Astyanax mexicanus: one gene and its partners. The protein of the gene in region 1 interacts with the protein of each later gene in a pairwise test. Links are inferred from orthologs where the notes say so. Each region holds a gene or a part of one and is shown on either strand. Other genes may lie near its edges.

Region 1 (7,793 bases):
GGACCACCAGTGGGCAGTGAAGTACCATCTAGTGGTCCATAGGCCCATTCTCAGGGGGAGGCAGTAATCAGTAGCGGGCTGGTAAAATCACTTTAAATTATAAGTATAGCTAAAGCAATTATTTTGTAAAAAATGTATAAGAAATGACAGTGTATCTTCTAAGCATTTGTTTATTCCATAATTCTCTTCCCTAGTATTTTTTTGTTCACCACTAGAGACATAAAATATGAAGGCACTGGCATTTCAGTTTAGGCTATTTATAAAACTGTTCTCTTCACTGGGTGAAGTATTTGACAATGATGAGACTAGGGGACAAGAATTGACTCACTGTCCAAGCTGAGGGATTTGATAGGCAGTCTCAACGGTGCCTCTGCCTGAGGAAACAGCAGCAGACATCAGGAGTCGAGCTCTGTTGGTCTGCTTGGCCTCTGCCTCAAAAGCAGCCCTCATCTCCTGTTCACCACCACAAACAGAAATGTACAGATGTTACAGAAATGAGCCCATATATACAAGAGATTCTAAATATTATATTATTATTACACGACACATAAACACATTACAATTTACAATAATAAGCACAGTCATTTAATACTTTAATAGCAGCAAATTCTTAATAACTGCTGTTCACAAATACTATTCCATTTTTAAAACAGAGATTTCAGTTTAAAATATGGTGCACTTTCACTTTCATTCAATGTAATAAGACTACTTACTAATTACTCTTTGTTATAAAGCAGTTGTTATGATTAGAAACAGATTTCTGTAGTTATTTGATTATTAAAGCACACTCCATTTTTGTTTAGATTGGACTGAAATTTAGAAGGACTGAAAATCAGTTAAAGAAATATTATAAAGCTGGATTTTAGCTGAGATAATTGGCTATTTGCTAAATAAAAATCTGACTATGAGTTTTCCCATTATCTAATTGAGTTAAGTTCATGGAAACATTACTGCAATACCCTATTGTTCTGCAGTAATATAATCTTTAAGTGTACATAAACGCAGTTACTGATTTCTTTGGGACATAATGCTTAAATTAAGGTAAATAAAATCAGATACATCTGACACACCTCCAGCAGAACAGAGTACAGTTGCTGATCTTGAGGTGGGCTTCCTCTGTTGGCTGGATACTCCCAGTCAATGTCCAACCCATCGAACTCATACTTCCTCAGAAAGGCAATGACAGAAGTGATGAAGGTCTGGCGGTTGGTGGAGGAGGCCACCATGTTAGAGAATCTAGCCGGAGTGATGAGAGGGAAATGAAGTTGACACATTGATATTCTGAGTGCTCTGCCCATGCTAAAATTAAATTAGGTTCTTACCCTGAGGAACCAAAGTTCCATCCACCAACTGACAGCAGAGTTTTCAGATCACCATTCCTGCAGAGATGAGAAAGAGAGAGAGATAAAAAAAAATCAGTGCTTGGCTTAAGGCAGCAATTTGCATGGATCTATTGGTAAGGATTTAGCCTCTTGAACCCTGGTTTTACTATTCATTTATTACCTTAAAATGGAACTCTGAGAGGTAAGACTGATTAAGCCTCTACATGGTTTAAAATGTATTATATAAACCAAGCATACTTTATTTACTGTTAATATTTACTAAGCATTGCTTTTTATAATTAATAACAGACTCAGTCCTTTTACATATAACATTACATTTTTGTTGTAGCTTTAAATGATTGTTCTCATTCTGTTCAGCTTTAGCTCAAGTATCAAAAGTCATGGGATAGCAGTATATACGTTGTTCATGAAGTGTTATTTTAGGGGACAACTTGGGAATGCCCACACCTGTAAAAGTTGTGAGGTGTTTTCTTATGAGTATGGTTGAACACTGGTTCGAACAAAGACAGATACAGGGTGCCACATCGATGGGACGTTCTTTACGATATCTCCTGTCGTACAAGTTTGAACATGTTAGTGTCTATGTTAAATATTGTATGTTGTTATAAATGATTTGACAATATTCTTTATAATTAAGTAAACAAAGTGTTGCATTCCAGGTTTAATTGGCTATAAACGGTAAACTGTAGTTAACACCTGCAATTTACTTCTGGTAAACACTTCTGAGTTCCATACTAGCAGCTCATCATATTCTCCACACTCACTTGTCCTTCAGGGCATTGAACTGGCTGTAGAGCTCCACATCATTCCATTCATAAGTGGCAATCTGGTAGCTGCTGGTCATGGTGGCGAAGGCGTAGAGGAGATGGGTACACAGGCATGGGTCGATGTCATTGGGCATGTAGATGGTAGGAGGTGGGCGATACTGTGCCCAGTTGGTGAAGTAGCATGATAAGATGTAGGCAGAGCCTGTCCAAAGCAACAAAATACATAAATCAGTTGGTTGTGTGTATTAGCTTCTGAGTAAAATCTGAAACCACAGCAATATAGCCAAGTACTTACCAAGCTGCATATGCAGCAGCAGGGCCAGCGCTGGATTCAGATAAGAGAAAGAAAGAAAAATGCAAGATTGTGATCTTTATTTCGTTAAACAAGTCATCTTGTGAAGTTTTTTCAAACACGTATTGTTTATGGCTTAAAGGAAAAACACTTTTTATTCTTTTTATTGAAACTCTTAATAATATCAAAGCCACTTACCTGAAACCAAGACTACCTTCCCCATTATTGCCTCGTACAAGGAGTAATGCACAGGCTCTGCTCTTTTATACATCATTTAGTTGGCCCGGGGCCTTTCATACCTTGTTACCGGTAGGAGGGAAATATTTGCAGTAGATTGTGATTCATTACTTAAGATTACCAAATCTTTTAATGTTCACAGTTACATAAGAACATATTCCTGTTTAGTCCTAATGTATGTACTTTTGTATGTACTGATTAACCCCAATGAATCTGACCCATATTTTTTATTTTCTTTTATTTAGGGTAAAGTGGTCTTTGTGATGTTTAAATAGTCCAAATGGATGATTCTACAAAATGAAATTAAAATGATTGTTTTGCTTATTTGGCCTTATCCTATGCGTACAGTGAACACACATAAACACTAGATATTAAACTCAGAAGACACACACACACGCAGACAGTGAGCACAAATGTCAGGAGCTGTGGGCAGCCACTGCTGTGGCACTCATGCAGGGAGCAGTGAGGTTTAAGGGCACAAAAGTGGCAGCCCTCTAAATTCAGAAATGTCAATACATTTAAAAACTTCTGTATTTCTCTGGTTTGGTTTTAATGCTGACTTATCGGAGCATTTGAGCATAGGTATGGATTTATTATGGATCTTCTTTTAAACAAAAAAACAAGAAAAATGTGTGCTAATACATGTATAAATATAAATGTTTGACTGTCTGTAAAAATAGCATACAGCAATGCATTTTTTTTAGCAAATATTAAGATATTTTAGGAATTAAACCTAATATTTTGCACTGAAAATGAAAAGGTAATGTTTCTGATTGTGTTTTATCGACATTAACAGATGAATGGGTGAATTCAGAATAGTTTATGTCTGAATAATAATTTAGTATAGTGCAATTAATAGTGCCTTTCTAAAGAAGGGGCAGTTAAATTTTTTTCTTAAATTTGTTTTCGTCTAATGAATTAATGATGTGATTAAGTGGTTAGTTGTACCAAAGTCATTAAGAAGGTCACCTCTGCTATGAATCGCTCTGTAAAGTCTGTGGAAGCAGTTACTGTAAACAAAGACAGTGATAAGAGGTGATTTGAAAGAGCAAGCTGTGATATTTTTATCCACTGTTGCCTTGGCAGCACATCAGAAAGTTAATGTGGAAAGTATGGGAAATAATGATAGTGAGCTGGCAAATTCAAATAAATCCGCATTTAGCCTGTTTACTGCTGAGAAAAATCTTTAACCAGTGGTCATAAAAGGTCCAATATGTATATTAAAAACAGATTCCTTGACTTGATGATAGTTTGTATTGGTAGTTTTTACATAATAACGAAGAACCATTTACTCAGACAAGCAACAGTTTGACCATTTCACATGGTTTTCTTTTTCTCAAGATAATTTTCTCTCCAATTTGGGAGGGACATTACCTGATTAGCATTTGTACTGTATGAACTGCCTTCAGCAGGGTTTCTTAAGAGCCTGCAAAAAAAAAAACATTACTGTACCGCTAGAGGGAACCCGCGAGTGAGTGCTTAATGATTTTACAGTGGTATCATATGAGTGGTATGGTAGGGTTTGCCCAAACCGTTTACATCCCACTGTAAATATTTTTTTATTTATTTTTATTTAATATCATTGTTTAAAATGTCGCACACAACAACTCATTTTGGATGGCAAATTAATTATACTTTAGAACACTATAGAGTACTTTATGTGCAATGGTATATAATTATAGCAACTGTAAGTTTACCAAGGGAACTCAAACTTGAAGTATATTTACTGTATAGACAGATAAACATCTTCATTCATTAAATAATTTATTAATTCATTTTTTTATTCATTTGCTCTCACTGTGTGAACGTTTCATTGATAGAAAGAGAGAAAGCAAGTGGGTAAGTGTGAGGTGAACTTCAGTATTTCACAGAGAGAGAGAGAGAGAGAGAGAGAGAGTGAGAGAAATAGAGAGAAAGGTAAACTTTAGTATTTCACAGAGAGAAAGAGAGAGAGAGAGAAATAGAGAGAAAGGTAAACTTCAGTATTTCACATAGAGAGAGAGGAGGGGGATTAAACTTCTGTATCTCAGGGAGAATGAGAGAAACAAAGATTGTAATTGAGAGAGAAAGAGTGTAAGTGAGAGAAGTCTGAAAGAGAGAGTGATAGAGAGAGAGTGTGAAAGAGAGGGAGGATGAGAGGATAAAGTTTGGGGGCGAGAGCGGTGCATTGTGGGAAGGCATGGCACGGTGAAGGCATAAAGTATGGCGGATGGGGAAGAGCCGTAAGTAGCGCTGATTGAAGCCCGTGTTTCTGTGTTTAGGGGTCGTGCTGTGATGATTTGTGATAACTGTGTGGTGCGATACGAGTGTGCTTGAACCTTCTTCTTTTATTCTCTCTTTTTAGGGAGAAGAAAAGAAGGAGAATAGAGGAGCTGACTGAGAAGTTAGTGATGAAATGCTAAGCGCTGGCTGCAGGTTTGAGTATTGCACAGCATAGGGAGTGAAAATTCATCCTTTCTGCTGTAAACAGAGCGCGTCCCTCCGCCGAGCAGACCGAGAATAGAGAGCGGAACAGTGTAAAACTGTCCTGAGACCGGAACAGGGAGGGAGCGAGAGCTGTTCAGAGCTCTGCTTCACTCATAGATACCACTTAGCTAACGCTAGGCTAGCCGGCTAACTGCTAACTAGCGCGTTTGACTGTCAGTATAGATAAACAAGGCCGGTGTTCCGTCAAGTTGTGCTACCCGTCTATATGTGCTACTTAGCAGCTCTGCGCATGCGCAAAACTGTTTTTACTGTTTTCATTTTTCCCCTAAAAGTGGGAAAAATTAACTCCGGTCCAGAAAGTAAACATCCATCCCAGTGTTTTGTACCAACTGCCTGGGTGGCTCTGCTGGGGAAATGGATTTTTACTTTCTTGACCTTGGTTACCCCCCTCTAGGTTTTTTTTTGTAATAATTTAGTTATTTTTAGTTACCATGTTTTTTAATCACATATATTGGCTTAACTTTATCCTGATACAGCGATTTAGGCTATGCAATTTGATCATACAGACACTTCTAATGCATGCAGCATGTTCTAATAATTTGTATGTTTACAGTTAAACATACACACTAGGGTAGCACGGTTTGACAGGGAAGTAGAACTTGACAGAACACCGGTGAGGAGGAAGAGTCTGTCATTTAAGGACTTTAAATTGGTGATGAATTTTCACAGACCGTACTGTAGCCAAACGTCAGCAGAAATGTGTAGAATTTCTTTTAATAAATCAATGTCCGTTCCTGTTTTGGTCGCCTGAGTCCATAAACAAATAAGCTAAGCTAGCTATAGCTGTCTGTTAGTGACAGCAGCTAGCTAGCTAACCGGTTTAGTTAAGCTAAGCTACAGTAATCAGGGTGTAGTGTTGAATTTATTACGAATTTTATCTTAATTTCGAGTGTGTTTGTTTATAGACTCCTGTAATACGCAGAGCAAAACGTTTCTAGTGGCTTTGTATCTAAAGTGGTGATTACAAAGTGTTCTGCGCAATAAACTTAATTATTACAAAAAGTATTTGAGGTATTGTTGTCATTTAAAGTCCGTTTTGTTCCACTGCTATAGTTACAGTACCTGTCAAAAGCTTGGACCCATATTTTCTCATTCTCTGTGTTTTCTTTCTGTTTCTATTTTTTTTTACATTGTAAATTTATCATTGAAGACATTACAGCTATACAGAGCTATACACACAGCTCTGGAAAAAATGAAGAGACCACTTCAGTTTCTGAATCAGTTTGAGTAAAATTAGCATTGTGGTTTTATTCTTTAAACTACGGACAATATTTATTCTTAATTCCAAATAAAAAATATTGTCATTTACAGCATTTATTTGCAGAAAATGAGAAATGGCTGAAATAACAAAAAAGATGCAGTTCTCAGACCTCAAATAATGCAAAGAAAACAAGTTCTTAGTCATAAAGTTTTCAAAGATTTCAAAAATCATTATTTGGTGGAATAACCCTCGTTTTTAATCACAGTTTTCATGCATCTTGGCATGTTCTCCTCCACATGTCTTACACGCTGCTTTTGGATAACCTTATGCCACTCCTGGTGCAATAATTCAAGCAGTTCACCTTGGTTTATCCATCTTCCTCTTGATTATATTCCAGAGGTTTTCAATTTGGTAAAATCAAAGAAACTCATCATTTTTAAGTGGTCTCTTATTTATTTTACAGAGCTTTATGTGTTTTTTATACTTTACAATTTTCCAAGTAGCCACATTAATTGTGATGACAGATTTTTACACACTCTTGGTATTTTAATCTTAGTGTCTTCATGAGTAGAGTTACTTGAGAGTTTTTTCTGCATCTCTTTCTTTATGCTGTGAAGCTCCAGCTCATCACAAATTACCCATTACAGTAGGGTTTAGGTCAGGGGATTGGGGAGGACAAACATTTTTTTTTATCGAATTATATATATGTTCCATAATTTTTGTTTTTTTTTATTAATCAATAATGTAGAAACTAAAAACAACAAAAAAATATAAAATAAAGAAAAAGATGAATGAGAAGGTGTGTACAACCTTTTGACTGGTGCTGTGTATGTCCATATATCAGTCCATAATAATGCTTTAACACCCTTTTTTAGGGCACTAAACATTTAATGATTAAAAAATGTAAATTAAATGTGAACATTTTATCTATCGAGGTCAGCAAAAAAAAACTGCAGCGATGTCCATGTGTTGTACGATTTAGTTGATAATTATTGTGACAGGCCTAGTGACAGGCGAAACTGTGTGTAAATAGGTTGATTGGAAGTCACATATTACAACAGTAAAAATATACTAAATAACAAACACATCATAACATCATGACCACAATTTTTAATTATGTATATAGATATAAAGGAGATAAATCAGATAAAGTAACAAAATATCTAAAATAAAAATAAGTGCAGTAATGTGGCGGTGTGGGGTACAGTAACACCAGTGGACATGTACTCACACCAAAAACAAAGTATGCCATATACACCTGTGAGCTGTAAAGCTAGCTACATATCTACAGTTAGAATCACAATTAAAATGTTGATAAACAATTTTAAAGTGGTTAAACACTTATGCAAAAAGTCATAATTTCAGTTTCAGCTCCCCTGAAATCCAAAAAATAAACTCAAGATTGATTGTGTGTTTAATCTACTAATATATTCTGCAGATATGTGATATTTATTTATTATTATATT
Region 2 (7,024 bases), on another chromosome or scaffold:
TCTATTTATTGAGTGTTTTATTTTTGATGTATTAACAGGTAAACAGTTCCCATTAGTTACATAGCATAGCATCACATTCCTATATTTTTTGCACTGTAACAAAAACAGAGTAATACATCAGCACATTTGTTTACTCAGTTGGTCACATTAAAAAAATGTCCCCTTGCTAAAAAGACATGTAAGCTCTATTCCATGGAGTTAATATAAATAAAATAACTTTGATAGGCCGTTGTTTTGCATGATTTTTATGAATTGTAATGTGAGCTGGCTGCATGAAACACATTTTTTAATAATGTAATAAAATACTGAGAGACAAAAATTCTGTTCTTTGATTACATTATTTTACATACACTGGTTCTGATTCTCTTTACTTGTACATAATTATATAAACTGGATAACTGATACAAATATAATAATATACAGGTGCTGGTCAACGAATTAGAATAATTTGAAATAGTGCAATCATGAAATTCTTTGAATGCATTTTTTTGTGCAGAAAGCAAATCAGGTGTTCACCGCACCTGTCCTACTCCTTAGACTAATCACAGAACTCGTTACCTGGAAAAAAATTTGCTCAGCTGAGCTTTCCAAAAGGCCCATTTAGGCCATTTAACTGTGACACTGTTGTTTTATTGAATTAGAATAATGGAGAAACCGTTTCATTGAATAAGAATAATTTTTATTATAATTACAATCATCACTTTCTCAGTATTTTGTGGCTGCCCCCTTGGCTTGTATGACTGCTTGAAGTCTCCGCGGCATCGATTTGACCAGCTTGTCGCAAGTTTCCGCACTCACAGCTTCCCAGGCAGTGGCGATGTTCTGCTTCAGTTGGTCCAGCGTAGTAGGCTTTCTGTCGCGAATTTTCCGCTTGACGATGGCCCAAAGGTTTTCAATGACATTGAGGTCAGGCGAGTTGGCCGGCCATGCCAAAACTTCAAGCTGTTTTTTAGTGAACCAATCTTTGGTCGACTTTGCCGCATGAGCCGGTGCAAGATCCTGTTGAAATATGAAGTCTTCTTCGCCGAACTGTTCCTCAACAGTCGGAATCAGGAACGTTTCCAGAACATCTTGATATACGGCAGCATTGACAGTCTTCTTGAGGAAGCAGAGTTTCCCTACACCTCGAGCGGACATGCATCCCCAGACCATAACGCTCTGGGGAAACTTGACGGATCTTTTCACGCACTCGTGGTTGTAGGTTTCGCCACCACGACGCCAGACACGAGGACCTTGGTCACCGAAGGAGATGCAGAAGCGTGATTCGTCACTGAAGACCACTTTCTGCCAGTCTTCAGCAGTCCACTCGCCGTGTTCTTTGGCCCACTTCAGCAGTTTCTCCATTTGTTTCTTGTTCAGCATCGGTTTTACTGCTGGAACGCGAGATTTGAAGCCGAGTTCGCGCAGAAGACGGTAAGTGGTTGATCTGGAGACGTCAGCGCCGGTCTGCTTGTTCCACAAGTCGGTGAGCTCGGAAGTGGACTTGAACCGGTTGCTGACTGCAATCTTTCTCAGCTGCTTGTTGTCGTGAGCAGAAGTTTTTCGGACGCCGGAACAGTTGGTGCGCTTGCTGCAGTTTTTCTTGAGAGCTTTGCAGACGGAAGACTGGCTGATGCCGAGCTGCTCAGCAATTTTAGTTTGGGTCAAGCCTTGTTGGCGAAGGGCTTGAATTTGAGCCACTATTCCGGTTGAGAGGTCGCGCTGCTTACCCATGATTGATTTTACAACTTAGAAATTCTACTCAACCCTGACTTTATACTGCACAGTGAACACTCTTCACAGAAAACAAAAATTCGAGCATTTATTCTAATTCAATGAAACGGTTTCTCCATTATTCTAATTCAATAAAACAACAGTGTCACAGTTAAATGGCCTAAATGGGCCTTTTGGAAAGCTCAGCTGAGCAAATTTTTTTCCAGGTAACGAGTTCTGTGATTAGTCTAACGAGTAGGACAGGTGCAGTGAACACCTGATTTGCTTTCTGCACAAAAAATGCATTCAAAGAATTTCATGATTGCACTATTTCAAATTATTCTAATTCGTTGACCAGCACCTGTATTTAACGAATATCACTTTTTTCAGGGTAGTGATGCTGGTCCACCATCATGGATGAGCTGGCCAACCAACATGCTGGTCATACTGGTGGTCTAGCTTGGTCAGGTTGTCCATGCTTGTAGACCACCTAAACCATCAAACTAAAATTAAAACGCTACTATTCTGGTGAAGAACTAAATTTGGTCAACATGAGGTGATCAGGCTATTTTTTTGGCTGGGTAGTATTCAGCTATTAACATTTTCAGATATTTTATAGCCTGTGTTTTTAAGAGCCCAAACCCAGTTCTTAATATTGATTGAAAATCTTAAAGTAATTCTTCAAATTAATATGTTAATATTTTAAGTTAAACTCTTGATGTAACAACAATGGTTAAACATAAGTACAACAATTTCATACCTTCTAGTTTACCATTTTGTTTTATATATAGTAGTTATGTGGATTGTAAAACATTAAATTGAAGATTTTGGGAAAATGCTTAAAACAGAGCTGTTGAGGCTAAAATACACTTTTAAATAGATGAAGTGTGATCTGAAGCATTAACACAGCACATCTACATTCTAGAAATAATAATGTTCAGTGTGTGCTACTTAGGGGCTTCATGAGTTTGAGTTGATATATTTATATATATATATATATATATATATATATATATATATATATATATATATATATATATATATATATATATATATATATATATAAATTTCAAGGTTTCTTCCCATTTTCACCCCAATTAACCCGGCCAGTTATCCAACTCACTCATTAGGACTTCCCCTATCACTAGTGATACACCAACAGGGGCTTCATGAGTTTAAATGAAGGACAGTGCGCTTTAGGGAACTTCACACAGACTTTTAAAAGGTCTGTGGCTATTTTGGGTTGAGTGAAAATTGCATGTACACACCATATACAGTATAATACAGTGGTAAACACACATAACACGTGTACAGATTCTTTACAGCAGCTGATTGTCCAGTAATGAATAATTGCCCGCAAGGTGGCAGCAGAGGCGCGTGAGAACGTGTACTGTACATTTATTTATATTTTTAAAATTACGTCTTTTTAGTTTTACATTATTGTGTTGAATAATTGTATCGATACGTTGTTGTTTGTTGTCCTTCTGTGCGTCAAAGTAATTATTAAATCATAGACTTGAGTGTTGATATTAATTAGAATGAGGTGAAACCTGTTGTTGAATTCTGAGGTCTGACTTTACTAATCGAGTTAATAACGATACAATTGTAGCGTCATACTAGCTGACCTTACCTGTAGCGGTCATGTTTACTAGGTTAGTTAACTCTAAGTAGCTAATGTTTACTTTTATAGAGGAGCATTGTTCACCTGCAGTGAATAATTGTGTTGGTGAACAACAGGTGGTTTCAACACCATGTATTTTATCTTGGTTGTTCTTTTCTCTTTAACCAAACGCGTACACACCATAAAAAACAGGTTCTTTAGTGATAAATCTGCAGATGGTCCACTCCGCTCTGGTCTAGTGTGACCGGGGGCTGTGTCTGCCTGCCTGGGCTCAGCTTCGGCAGCAGTGATGTGTTGTGTCGAGTTGTGCTACCCATCAAAATGTGCTTCTTAATACCAGTGCGCATGCCCACATTTATTTTATAGTTCCATGTGTTTTGTGGTAGTTCTACTAAATTTTACCTGGGTGCATATTTAACATCCTTAACCCCTCCTCTGTCATTATGTCATTATTAGATTTTATCTAAGTGTAAATGGCATTAATAATAATAATAATAATAATAATAATAATAATAATAATAATAATAATAATAATCGAGCAAAAATTACAAGATATAATCTCGCCTATTCCCTTTTAACTGTATTCTGATTTTTGATTCAGGGTTATTAAATAAAGTGCTTTTTCAGGATTTTTTTTACAATTAAATATTAAATACACCATACCTGTCAAGTTTTGGATTGATGTTGTGATCAATAGTATTTTCTGCAGTCAGAAGGCGTATGTATAATATTATACATATGTACATAGTATGTATGAGTATGTATCATCATAGTATGATGTTTTTTTTTAGCAGAAATGCCCTTTCTCTGTTTGCATCCATCCATCCGTCATTAGTGACATTCCAGTTGTGAGAGGCACAGGAATGTTTTTTATTTTAATTATAATGTAATACAAGAAATTTACAGGAAATGCTAATACGGGAGGACGGCGGGAAAGAGGGGTTAAATGTGGTAGACCAAAACGGGATACTTAACAAGATATGAAATACACACGGGATAGCACGGTTTGACAGGGCAGCAGAAATCGACAGAACACCGGACGGAGCTGTTAGGAGCCTTGTTAACTAAACTATACTGTGGGGTGGCGTGTGTTTGTGTGTGAGAGAGAGTGTGCTCTGAGTGAGTCTCTGTCAGTGTGTGTGTGAGTGTGTGTAAGCTGCGGGTGGAGACTGCCATGGTTCACAGGGAGCCCGCCCAGCCTCAGCCTCACTGCTGGCTGCTGGAGTGACCCGCCCGCCTGCCAGCAGCAGCAGCAGCAGAGCAACGTGTCACCGCCTCGGTCCGCTCCGGACCCACAGCCCGAACTCACACACAGCGGCTCCGCGGAGAAGCGCTGCTGCGGAACTGACGCTCCAGAAAAAAGTAGCCACGCGAAGAAAAGCCTGAGCCACCGCTTTTGAGAGGTGAGTGGTGGGTTTCTGAAGTAACAGAGAAGACTACAAATCTGTTAAATATAACGTTAATGGGTTCAACAGTTAGTTTACCTAGTATGGCTTCGTTTGTTTATTGTTATTCTTGGTCGTTCCTACTCAAAATAGTCAATGAAAACAGACCAGAAATAGAAAAGTGGTCCTTTCAGTCTGACAAGCTTGTTTTTATAGAAACTGAAAAACAGAAACAAGCCGCTGTTTATTATATTTTAGCTAAGTTACCTAGCTATGTAACATTATCTATCATGCAGTCTTCTCTTAGCTCTTTATTGAATAACTACAGCTCTGGAAAAAATAAAGAGTCCACTTTAGTTTCTGAATCAGTTCCGCTGATTTTGCTTTTTATAGGTATATGTTTAAGTAAAATGAACATTGTTGTTATATTCTATAAACTACACAACTACAGACAACATTTCTCCCAAATTCCAAATAAGAACATTGTCATTTAGAGCATTTATTTGCAGAAAATGAAAAATGGGTGAAATAAAAAAGATGCAGAGCTTTCAGACCTCAGATAATACAAATGCAAGATAATGCAAAAAACAAGTTCATATTTAAAAAAAAATGTAAGAGTTCAGAAATCAATATTTGGTGGAATAACCCTGATAACAGTTTTCAGGCATCTTGGCATGTTCTCCTCCACCAGTCTTGCACACTGCTTTTGGATAACTTCAGATTGGTTGGTGATCACCCATCTTCCTCTTGATTATATTCCAAAGGTTCTTAATCATGATTAGTGGTCTCCTATTTTTTTCCAGAGCTGTAGTTTTGCTCTGAGGCATCAAACTAAATGTCCAATACAATGAGGCAATTAAGTGGTTCATCATAAGTAATAAAAATATGTATATGTGCTAGACTGTGTCAAGAAGTAACCTGTATGTAGCTGTTTATATTCTTAATATATGCTATATTTGTTTTTAGTCATTGCCTTGTGCAGTTAGACCACTTTTGAATAGAATAACCATGATAAAGCAGTGGTTCTCATTACACTATACTTACATAGTGTAAGTAATATAAGTTAGGGCTCTGTAATATTGTACATTTAATCTCATTATTCTTCAAACATATGAGCGATTATGATTTAGATTTTTAGTTCTTACATATCTTTGGTTTTTTAGTTTGTAAACAAACAGCACCATTTAAAGTGATATACAATGTGGTGTTTTCTTTACATTTATTTTAACCATGTTTGTTATCTTTTTTTTCATTATCATTCATGATAAATAGTAAGCAGCCCCCTATTGAACACAGTGCAAACATAACATGCTTGTATTTCAGTTAAAGAAAAGTGTAACATTTGAAAATCACTGCCACATAAAAGCAAATTTCTATGTGAAGATGTACAGTCTCTATTATCTCATTTTTAAAAATAAGAAACAATAATTCAGTGCATTAAATTGATTTGATTTACCTCCTAGTCCTATTCTAGGTACTATACGTTGTTTTTTCCCAAACTCCAACCTCTGCCACACTGACCTATTTATGTCCACTTGCAGCTCTGCCCCTCAGCAGCCTGCTATGCTTTGCTCATGTGGTTTAGTGGTTAGTGGTCTTTTGGGGTCTGTGTGAAGGATGTGCAGCATAAACACAACAATACTGGAGACAAAGAATTGCCTCAAGTGCTAAATAGTCTTTTCCACTTCGAATATTTTCAGCTGTGCATAAGACAGTTCATGCCTTTCGGCTGCTCCATCTTCACAGTTGGACTAAAAATAATCCAAACATCCTAAAGAGGGCTTCAAGTGCAGTGTGCTTTAAAAATCAAGTGGTCCTATTGGTGGGGGTTAAAATAACTGTTATTACAAAGGAGGTGAGAAGGTGTTATTAGCAATGGGGTCTAATAGTCAAATAGTCAAAGGTCCACATGGTGTTTGAATATAATCGATTTGATTTGACCATTTTCAGTTCTACTAGATTGGACTGGCATAAATGAATATATATGTGTATGTGTGCAATGTAGTTGTACACATTGTACAAATTAGCGAAAACGCATCTAAATATTGTCACATAAGGTGACATGTGAGAGACCCTCTTAAAAATTAAGAGATGTAACCTATTGGTGGTACAGTACTGCATATAGATATTGTATTAAACCCAAACTGACTTGTCTTAAATTTAGGAATGCACACAGCACCTGAAATTATTTGTATGAAAATGGCATATCCAAACACTAAAAATGACTTTCAATGTTTGGATGTATTATCGTGAAAAAACAATCAAAGCAATAATGCTTTCTTTAAAAAAGAAAACAAGACAAAAATACATTAAGGCTATTCAATGT
Region 3 (7,050 bases), on another chromosome or scaffold:
CTTCCTGAACCATCTAATGAAAGAGAGAGACAGAGAGACAGAGAGAGAGAGAGAGAGACAGAGAGAGAGAGAGAGAGAGAGAGAGAGAGAGAGAGAGAGAGAGAGAGAGAGAGAGAGAGAGAGAGAGAGAGAGAGAGAGAGAGAGAGAGAGAGAGAGAGAGAGAAGCACATTATTAATTCAGGGCCCAAATCTAAATACTACTGAATACTAACTAGATCAAAAGTAGAGAATCTTAGGGCATCACACGATAAGATATTATCATGACACTTTGCCCATGACAATGATTATATCACGTTACTTGATTGATTATATCACAAGACAATTCACCAATCTGTGTTACTGAAGAGGAAAATATACTCCTAATAAATAAAATACCAGGAACTATGGATTTATCTGTGTCCGTTTCACACAAAATTTCACAATTAACATTCATCACAGGTTCACCTATTCACTTGATTAGTGCCACCACTTAGAGTAATGAAGCAGTAACATTAGTAACTCAAATTGTGGGGTGAGATACATATTAATATACAATATTGATCCTGTGTCCCACCCAAAAAGTAAATGAGTGGTTTCAGAGCGAATTATCGAGCAATAGAAGAACTTGAAGTAATTTAAACAGAATAATAAATTTGACATATAGGTTTGTAGAAATATCAGTAGTTTATTTTGGAATTAAGTGTATTCATGAATGGTTACTATGGTATCCAAAGCTGCTTCTATGGTCTTGCTATCATGTCACTAAATTGTCTGTTTTTGTCCTAAGGAGTTGCTACTATGTAGTTTAGTATTTACTGGGGGATTGATAAGGTATCCCATGTGGTTTCTTCGGTGTTGTTAAGTGATTGCTAAGTGATCCCTACGGTAAACCAGATGGCTGCTATAGTGTTATTTAGTAGGTTTAGTAGTTACTACGTGGTTGTTATGTTATCCTAGGTGATTATATGGTGTTGCTAAGTGATTCCTATGGTAAACCAGTTGGTTGCTATAGTGTTTTTTAGTTGTTACTAGGTGGTTGCTAAGGTATCCCAGGTTGTTTCTATGATGTTGTAAAGTAATTACTAAGTGATTCCCATGGTGTAGCAAGTGGTTGCTATAGTGTTGTTTACTAGTTACTACGTTGTTGTTATGGTATCCCAGATGGTTGCTATGGAGTTCAAAAAACACTAGGTGGGTGGTTTAGTGTGGCAATGTAACTGCTCGGAAGTTACTATGGTATCCCGGGTGGGTAGCTTAGGTGCTTAGGTACCTGGTTGATTATTAAGTGTAAAGAGTATATTTGTATCATTGTTATATTTGAAGGGTGCCCAAGTTTTACTGGCACATTCGTAGGCACTTTACTGTGTGTGTACTGTGTGTGATTTATCAGTTTTATTTATATCAGTAGGCTAGCCACACGGAAAAGGTCAGTAATGCAGACTTATCTCGAGCAGCAGCCCACTGTAACACTTTACACTTCTTATAATACACTGCTTAAATACCAGAACCACACAGAACACTGAGGGAAGAAGAAGCACTTTTCTGTTCCAGGTTATAACACAGTGGATCAACACCAGCAGATGACATGTCTCTCCAAACCATCACTGATTGTTGAAACTTCACACTAGACCTCAAGCAGCTTGGACTGTGTGTCTCTACACTCTTCCTCCAGACTCTGGTCTCTTGATTTACAAATGAAATGCAAAATGTATTGATTGATGGTCAGTGATGGTTTGGAGAATCATCAACACCAGTCATCTGCTGGTGCTGGTCCACTGTGTTTTATCAAGTCTAAAGTCAGTGCAGTGTTTTCCTGGAAAATCTTACAGAATTCCATTTTTCCCTCTACTGACAACTTTTATAGCAATGTGGATTTCATTTTCCAGCAGGCCTTGACACACTGCCCACACTGCCAAAAGTACCAGTTGGATTGGGGTTTCATTGGCTTTAAGCGATAATCATCAACATTAAAAGAAATACACTTAAACACTTAAAAAATAGATTACTCTGTGTGTAATACATCTATATAATAAATGAATTTCACATTTTAAACCAAATCACTGAAATAAAGTAACTTTTCAATGATATTAGATATTAGATCTTTAGATGCACTAGTATACAGCTCTGGAGAAAATTAAGAGATCACTTTAGTTTCTGAATCAGTTTCTCTGATTTTGCTATTTATAGGTATATGTTTGAGTCAAATGAACATTGACAAACTACTGACAACATTTCTACCAAATTCTAAATAAGAAATATTGTCATTTAGAGTATTTATTTGCAGAAAATTAGAAATGGTCAAAATAACAAAAAAGAGTTCAGAAATCAATATTTGGTGGAATAACCCTGGTTTTGTAATAACAGTTTTCATACATCTTGGCATGTTCTCCTCCACCAGTCTTACACACTGCTTTTGGATAACTTTATGCCACTCCTGATGCATAAATTGCAAAAAGTAATCATCTTCCTCTTGATTATATTCCAGAGGTTTAGGTAAAACCAAATAAACTCGTAATGTTTATGTGCTCTCTCTCTATATATATATCCGTATGTTTTATTGTATTATTAACTCTGTGAAAGATAAACTGACTTCACTGAATTACTAACGCTCCACTTCAGCAGCCTAATCACTGACAGCGTGTTTACACCCACATCACTAACCCCGCTGGCCTCTCCACTCTCCGCGGCTAACAGTGCACACAGCCCGGCTAACGCAGCTGAGCTCCCCCGCCATCACTCCCACACTCACTCATACCTGCCCCGCAGAGCGAGCGATCCGCACGGCCAGCTCCAGACACTCGGCCCAGCTCTCCGCCTCCATGCTCCCGGGTCTCAGTGGAGGAGAGCGGGGGAAGGCTCAGCGCAGACCGCGCGGGCTGCTCATGGTAAGCCGTCGCTGGTGTCTGGCTTCCCGGATCCGCAGTGAGAGTCTCCGGGCGGAAAGCTCCGACATGGGTGGATGTAGCCCGCTGCTGCTGCCGCTGTCCGGGCGGCCTGACCTGCGCGCGCAGGCTGTCAGATCTGTCCGAGCGGCACATTTAGATCCAGAGCTGATCCTCACAGTGACATTTAAAGGGCCCACACCCCACAAATCCTACATAACAGCTCTGGAAATAGGATACCACTTTAAAATGATCAGTTTCTCTGATTTTACCAAATTGAAAACCTCTGGAATATAATCAGGAGGAAGATGAATGAACACAAGCCATCAAATCAAGCTGAACCGCTATCCAAAAGCAGTGTGTTAGACTGGTGGAGGAGAACATGCCAAGATACATGAAAACTGTGATTAAAAATACAGGGTTATTCCACCGAATATTGATTTCTTAAATCTTAAACCTTCTGCAAATCAATGACAATATGACATTAGATGACGATATTTTTATTTTGAATTTGGAAGAAATGTTGTCTGTAGTTTATAGAATAAAACAACAATGTTCATTTTAGTCAAACATAATCAGAGAAACTGATTCAGAAAATGAAGTGGATTTTTTTTCCAGAGCTGTATGTATGTTTACTTTGAGGTCTGAGGACAGCTTGTGATTATATTATATAATATTACAGAATATATAACAATATATATTTTTTTATAAAGAACAGTTAAACACAGTTATTTATATTTAATTGAATTTTTAATTTATTATATATATTTTTATATGTGGGTTTTGCTACATTTTGGCTATGAATAAACCTCTAGATTAAAAACAACAACAAAGGAAATTCCTTACTTTACCTTTTCGGCTCCTGTTAAGATACCCTTAGAACTTTACAAAAAATAGCAAAACAAACGCAAAACAGAATAGAATGCTTTGAAGAAAAAATAATACTGCTGTTATCACAATATGGATTTTTTTCGGTGGTTTAAAAATAAGCTGTCTACTTTGCTTCCAATGTACTAGGTAAGTAATTAGTTTATAATATTAATACAAACAATAATAATAATAATTATTATTATAATAGCCATAACCATGTTGCAAGTACTAAATAAGTGTTTCACCCCACCCACTGCTAACGTAACAATTTAAAGCACAAATATATATATATATTATATATATATATATAATTTGATGATATATATATATATATAATCATATTATATATATATAATATGATGATATATACATAATGATATATATATATCATTATGTTACTTTATTTTATATCACTCTTGGATGAACAGGTCGTTTTTTGTGTAAATTGTACTAATTTTAAAAGAAAGTATTTAAAGAATTCTTGAAATATTTAATCATAAAATAAATTGATAAAAAAATGAAGAAAGAAAATCTCAGCTAGCATGAAATAAGCTGGGAAATAAATGTTGCTCCCTTTCGTTTATATAAAACCATGAAGCACATTTTGAAGGACTGTGGCTAAAGATCAGTGTTGTATCGAGTAATAATGTCCACACAGGGGCAGTATTTCTCCAGCACTACGGACCTCACTGTAGTTTTAAACTAAGAAGCACATTACATACAGGTTATTGTGAAAATCATACAATTCTTCGGTTGGGAAAAATCAGTTTTTTTATATAGGTGAATAAGTATTTATATATATATTTTTAAAAATAGGTAAGAATACATTTGTTCTACAATTCAAGTACAGAGTAAGTTTATTTTGATTAGAAATTTAAAGCATCAACACTGCCACCTCTTGGGCATCTGGTAAAGTATGCCCTGTGATGTGACTTTTATAATGCTGAGTTAAACGGAGCTTCATGCTGGCTGGTAAAATTTGTATGAGAAGTGAGCACTACAATGTCTTGTTTGGGACACAGCCATGGCCTAAATAAAAGACTGCTTAGGGGTCCAGAAAATCACTGGATTGGATTGACAACTTGGATGGTCAAGAACTGAGGAAGAGGTGGGTTCTAAGGTGGCATTTAGATATGAAGGCTTAATTCCACCTATTAGCCATAAAGAATAATCTAATATGATTGCCTGCTTTGCTTTATTCTATTGGAGACAGGTGGCCTGGTCCATGTAGGTCCTGCATTTGGTTTTCCCAGTGTTCCCAATTAACATCCACAGACAGCTTGGAGAGGAACTTTATTTACAATATCAGGACAGTTAACTTTCAAATGTGTCATCATTTAAAAGATATACTCTGACCTATCATCAATTTACAATCATAACTAAAGGGCTTTTTATAAAAAGGGTTGGCCTGACAATCACAATCACACTGGACGAGCTGCAAACACATAAATGGCTTTTAAAAAGTATAGACACAACTCTTAAAATTTATTCCATTTACATATAATTTCTTTAGCCCCACCCTCCCCCTGCACAAACAACAATATTTATGTTTACAAAAGTTGTAACCAAAGATGAAAATATAGGAAATGCAACAAAAAAAACAGAGGGAAAGATAAATGAGATGAGATTCAGTTCATGGCCCACATTTTCATACAATTGCAAGCATGGCACCAAAAGGAAAAAAGCAAAAGGGAAAATGGGGAGAAGAACCAGAGTACCACAGCAAGGCTTAGTCTTCAGTTACAGAACTGTGTATGAGTGAAGCAGCACAAACATTAGATATAAAATAATAATAAAATAAACAAACAAAGAATACACATTTTGGCTTACAGGGTCAAACAATGAGGTGGGTTAAAGTAGAAAGGAAAAGACGTTCTCGTCTGAAGTGCGGGCGTTAGTTGGAGCTTAGCGGCTGGATGGCCAACACGTGGTTCAGTAGATGAATTCTCCGGGCACTTCCTGGAGGGCAGGGAAGGGCTCTTCGAATTTGAATCGCTTGGAGATGGCCTTCTGGTCCGGGGTCAGACTCTCCTTGTCTGAGGACTGCCGACACTGACCCAGAGTATAAGCGGCCATCACAATGAGCTCCTCCGTCACTCTTCCATCCTCCTCCTCCTCTTCTGTTCTCTGCTGGGAGGAGATCTCTGGGCTGGCTGGCTCTGAGACTGAGGTGGAGGCACTTTTCTGCATCGCTGGCTCCTCCACAGAATTTTTCTCCTGTGTCTGAAGCCACTGGTGTTTCAGGCACTCCTCAGCAGTGGCACGGCCCCTGTGCAAACAAAGAATTATTAAAGAATTACACATACCGGTACACTTGTGCTGTCTGCAGACATCTGTTAAAAACTGTACAGTTACTGTGGCATAGGCCTTGTATAACTTAAGCCACTTGGAGAAAGACATCCTAAGTATCAGGACTACAATGTTATCATGCCAAATTACATAAAAATGCATACTAAGCACACTGAACACACATTCATAACAGATACACTTCAGGAGCCGGTCTAAGACACAGTTAGACCTCATGTATGGAGCCCCTAAGGTGACATTATGTTAAAATAAAATAATGCATGGCCACAAATTACTAAGGCATGGGAATGAGAAAATTAAGGTGTGGGAACGAGATCCTAATGCGTGGGAACGAGATAACAATATGACTGCCTGGAAGTAAAACGGGCCTGCACGCTGTCTGCATCTGAGCCTGTCAGCTTTTAGAGTGCGAATAAAGTGATTTTTACTTAAAAATATGCCATGTCTCACTGCAAGAGACTCCAAAATATCACCATAATTCATTTAGAGACGAAAATAAAAAGAAACCAGTTCACTCTCCATTTTCTTACAAAAGATTATCCTTGGATTGGAGCTTTGATGTAATATTCAGTTTTCTTCATGGATATTAATTTACAGAAAAGCAAGCTTTATTATTCTCTGGCCACATTTAAATTCTCATTCCCGTGCCATAATAAATCGTGGCCATTACTTATTTATCTCATTCACATGCCATAATTATCTCGTTCGAACAAATTAGGATCTTGTTCCTATGCCTAAATAAGTTGTGGCCACGCATAATTTATATATTTATTTATTTATTTATTTTTTTTAACATGATGTCAACTTAGAGATTGGTACTTATGCATGGAATGTGGATGTGTTTATGGAAGAGTCTGCTTTGTCCACTGTGGGCAGAAATGCCTTATTCTTTGATGTATTCCTGGTACAAATGTGACACTGTTTGGAATTGGAATATCCCATTTATCTGGCACCCACTATCAGACCATATTTAAACTCCCATAATTTACATTAGCTTTTCATGAGCATGCT

What was found.
Region 2: the proteins of uba3 (region 1) and cpne2 interact in binary tests that used the Homo sapiens proteins (3 or more experiments, as listed by UniProt). The two-hybrid records come from large-scale screens. The link is inferred for Astyanax mexicanus from reciprocal best matches to the Homo sapiens genes UBA3 and CPNE2.
Region 3: the proteins of uba3 (region 1) and impa2 interact in binary tests that used the Homo sapiens proteins (3 or more experiments, as listed by UniProt). The two-hybrid records come from large-scale screens. The link is inferred for Astyanax mexicanus from reciprocal best matches to the Homo sapiens genes UBA3 and IMPA2.

The regions. Positions count from the first base shown.
Region 1 is NC_064420.1:33,208,356-33,216,148, forward strand, and holds the start of uba3 (NEDD8-activating enzyme E1 catalytic subunit), read left to right. Parts: upstream 1-4,789; 5' UTR 4,790-4,841; coding exon 4,842-4,861; intron 4,862-4,983; coding exon 4,984-5,022; exon of another isoform or gene 5,023-5,034; coding exon of another isoform or gene 5,035-5,054; intron 5,055-7,793. Other genes in the region: acidic mammalian chitinase, read right to left, coding at 329-453, 1,071-1,236, 1,323-1,379, 2,108-2,312, 2,406-2,435, 2,601-2,625. UniProt on the Homo sapiens protein: Catalytic subunit of the dimeric UBA3-NAE1 E1 enzyme. E1 activates NEDD8 by first adenylating its C-terminal glycine residue with ATP, thereafter linking this residue to the side chain of the catalytic cysteine, yielding a NEDD8-UBA3 thioester and free AMP.
Region 2 is NC_064416.1:22,614,712-22,621,735, forward strand, and holds the start of cpne2 (copine-2), read left to right. Parts: upstream 1-3,972; 5' UTR 3,973-4,716; intron 4,717-7,024.
Region 3 is NC_064413.1:44,505,807-44,512,856, reverse strand, and holds the start of impa2 (inositol monophosphatase 2), read right to left. Parts: upstream 3,004-7,050; 5' UTR 2,802-3,003; coding exon 2,736-2,801; intron 14-2,735; coding exon 1-13. Other genes in the region: stk17a (serine/threonine-protein kinase 17A), read right to left, coding at 5,665-6,001. UniProt on the Homo sapiens protein: Phosphatase that can use myo-inositol monophosphates, myo-inositol 1,4-diphosphate, scyllo-inositol-1,4-diphosphate, glucose-1-phosphate, beta-glycerophosphate and 2'-AMP as substrates in vitro.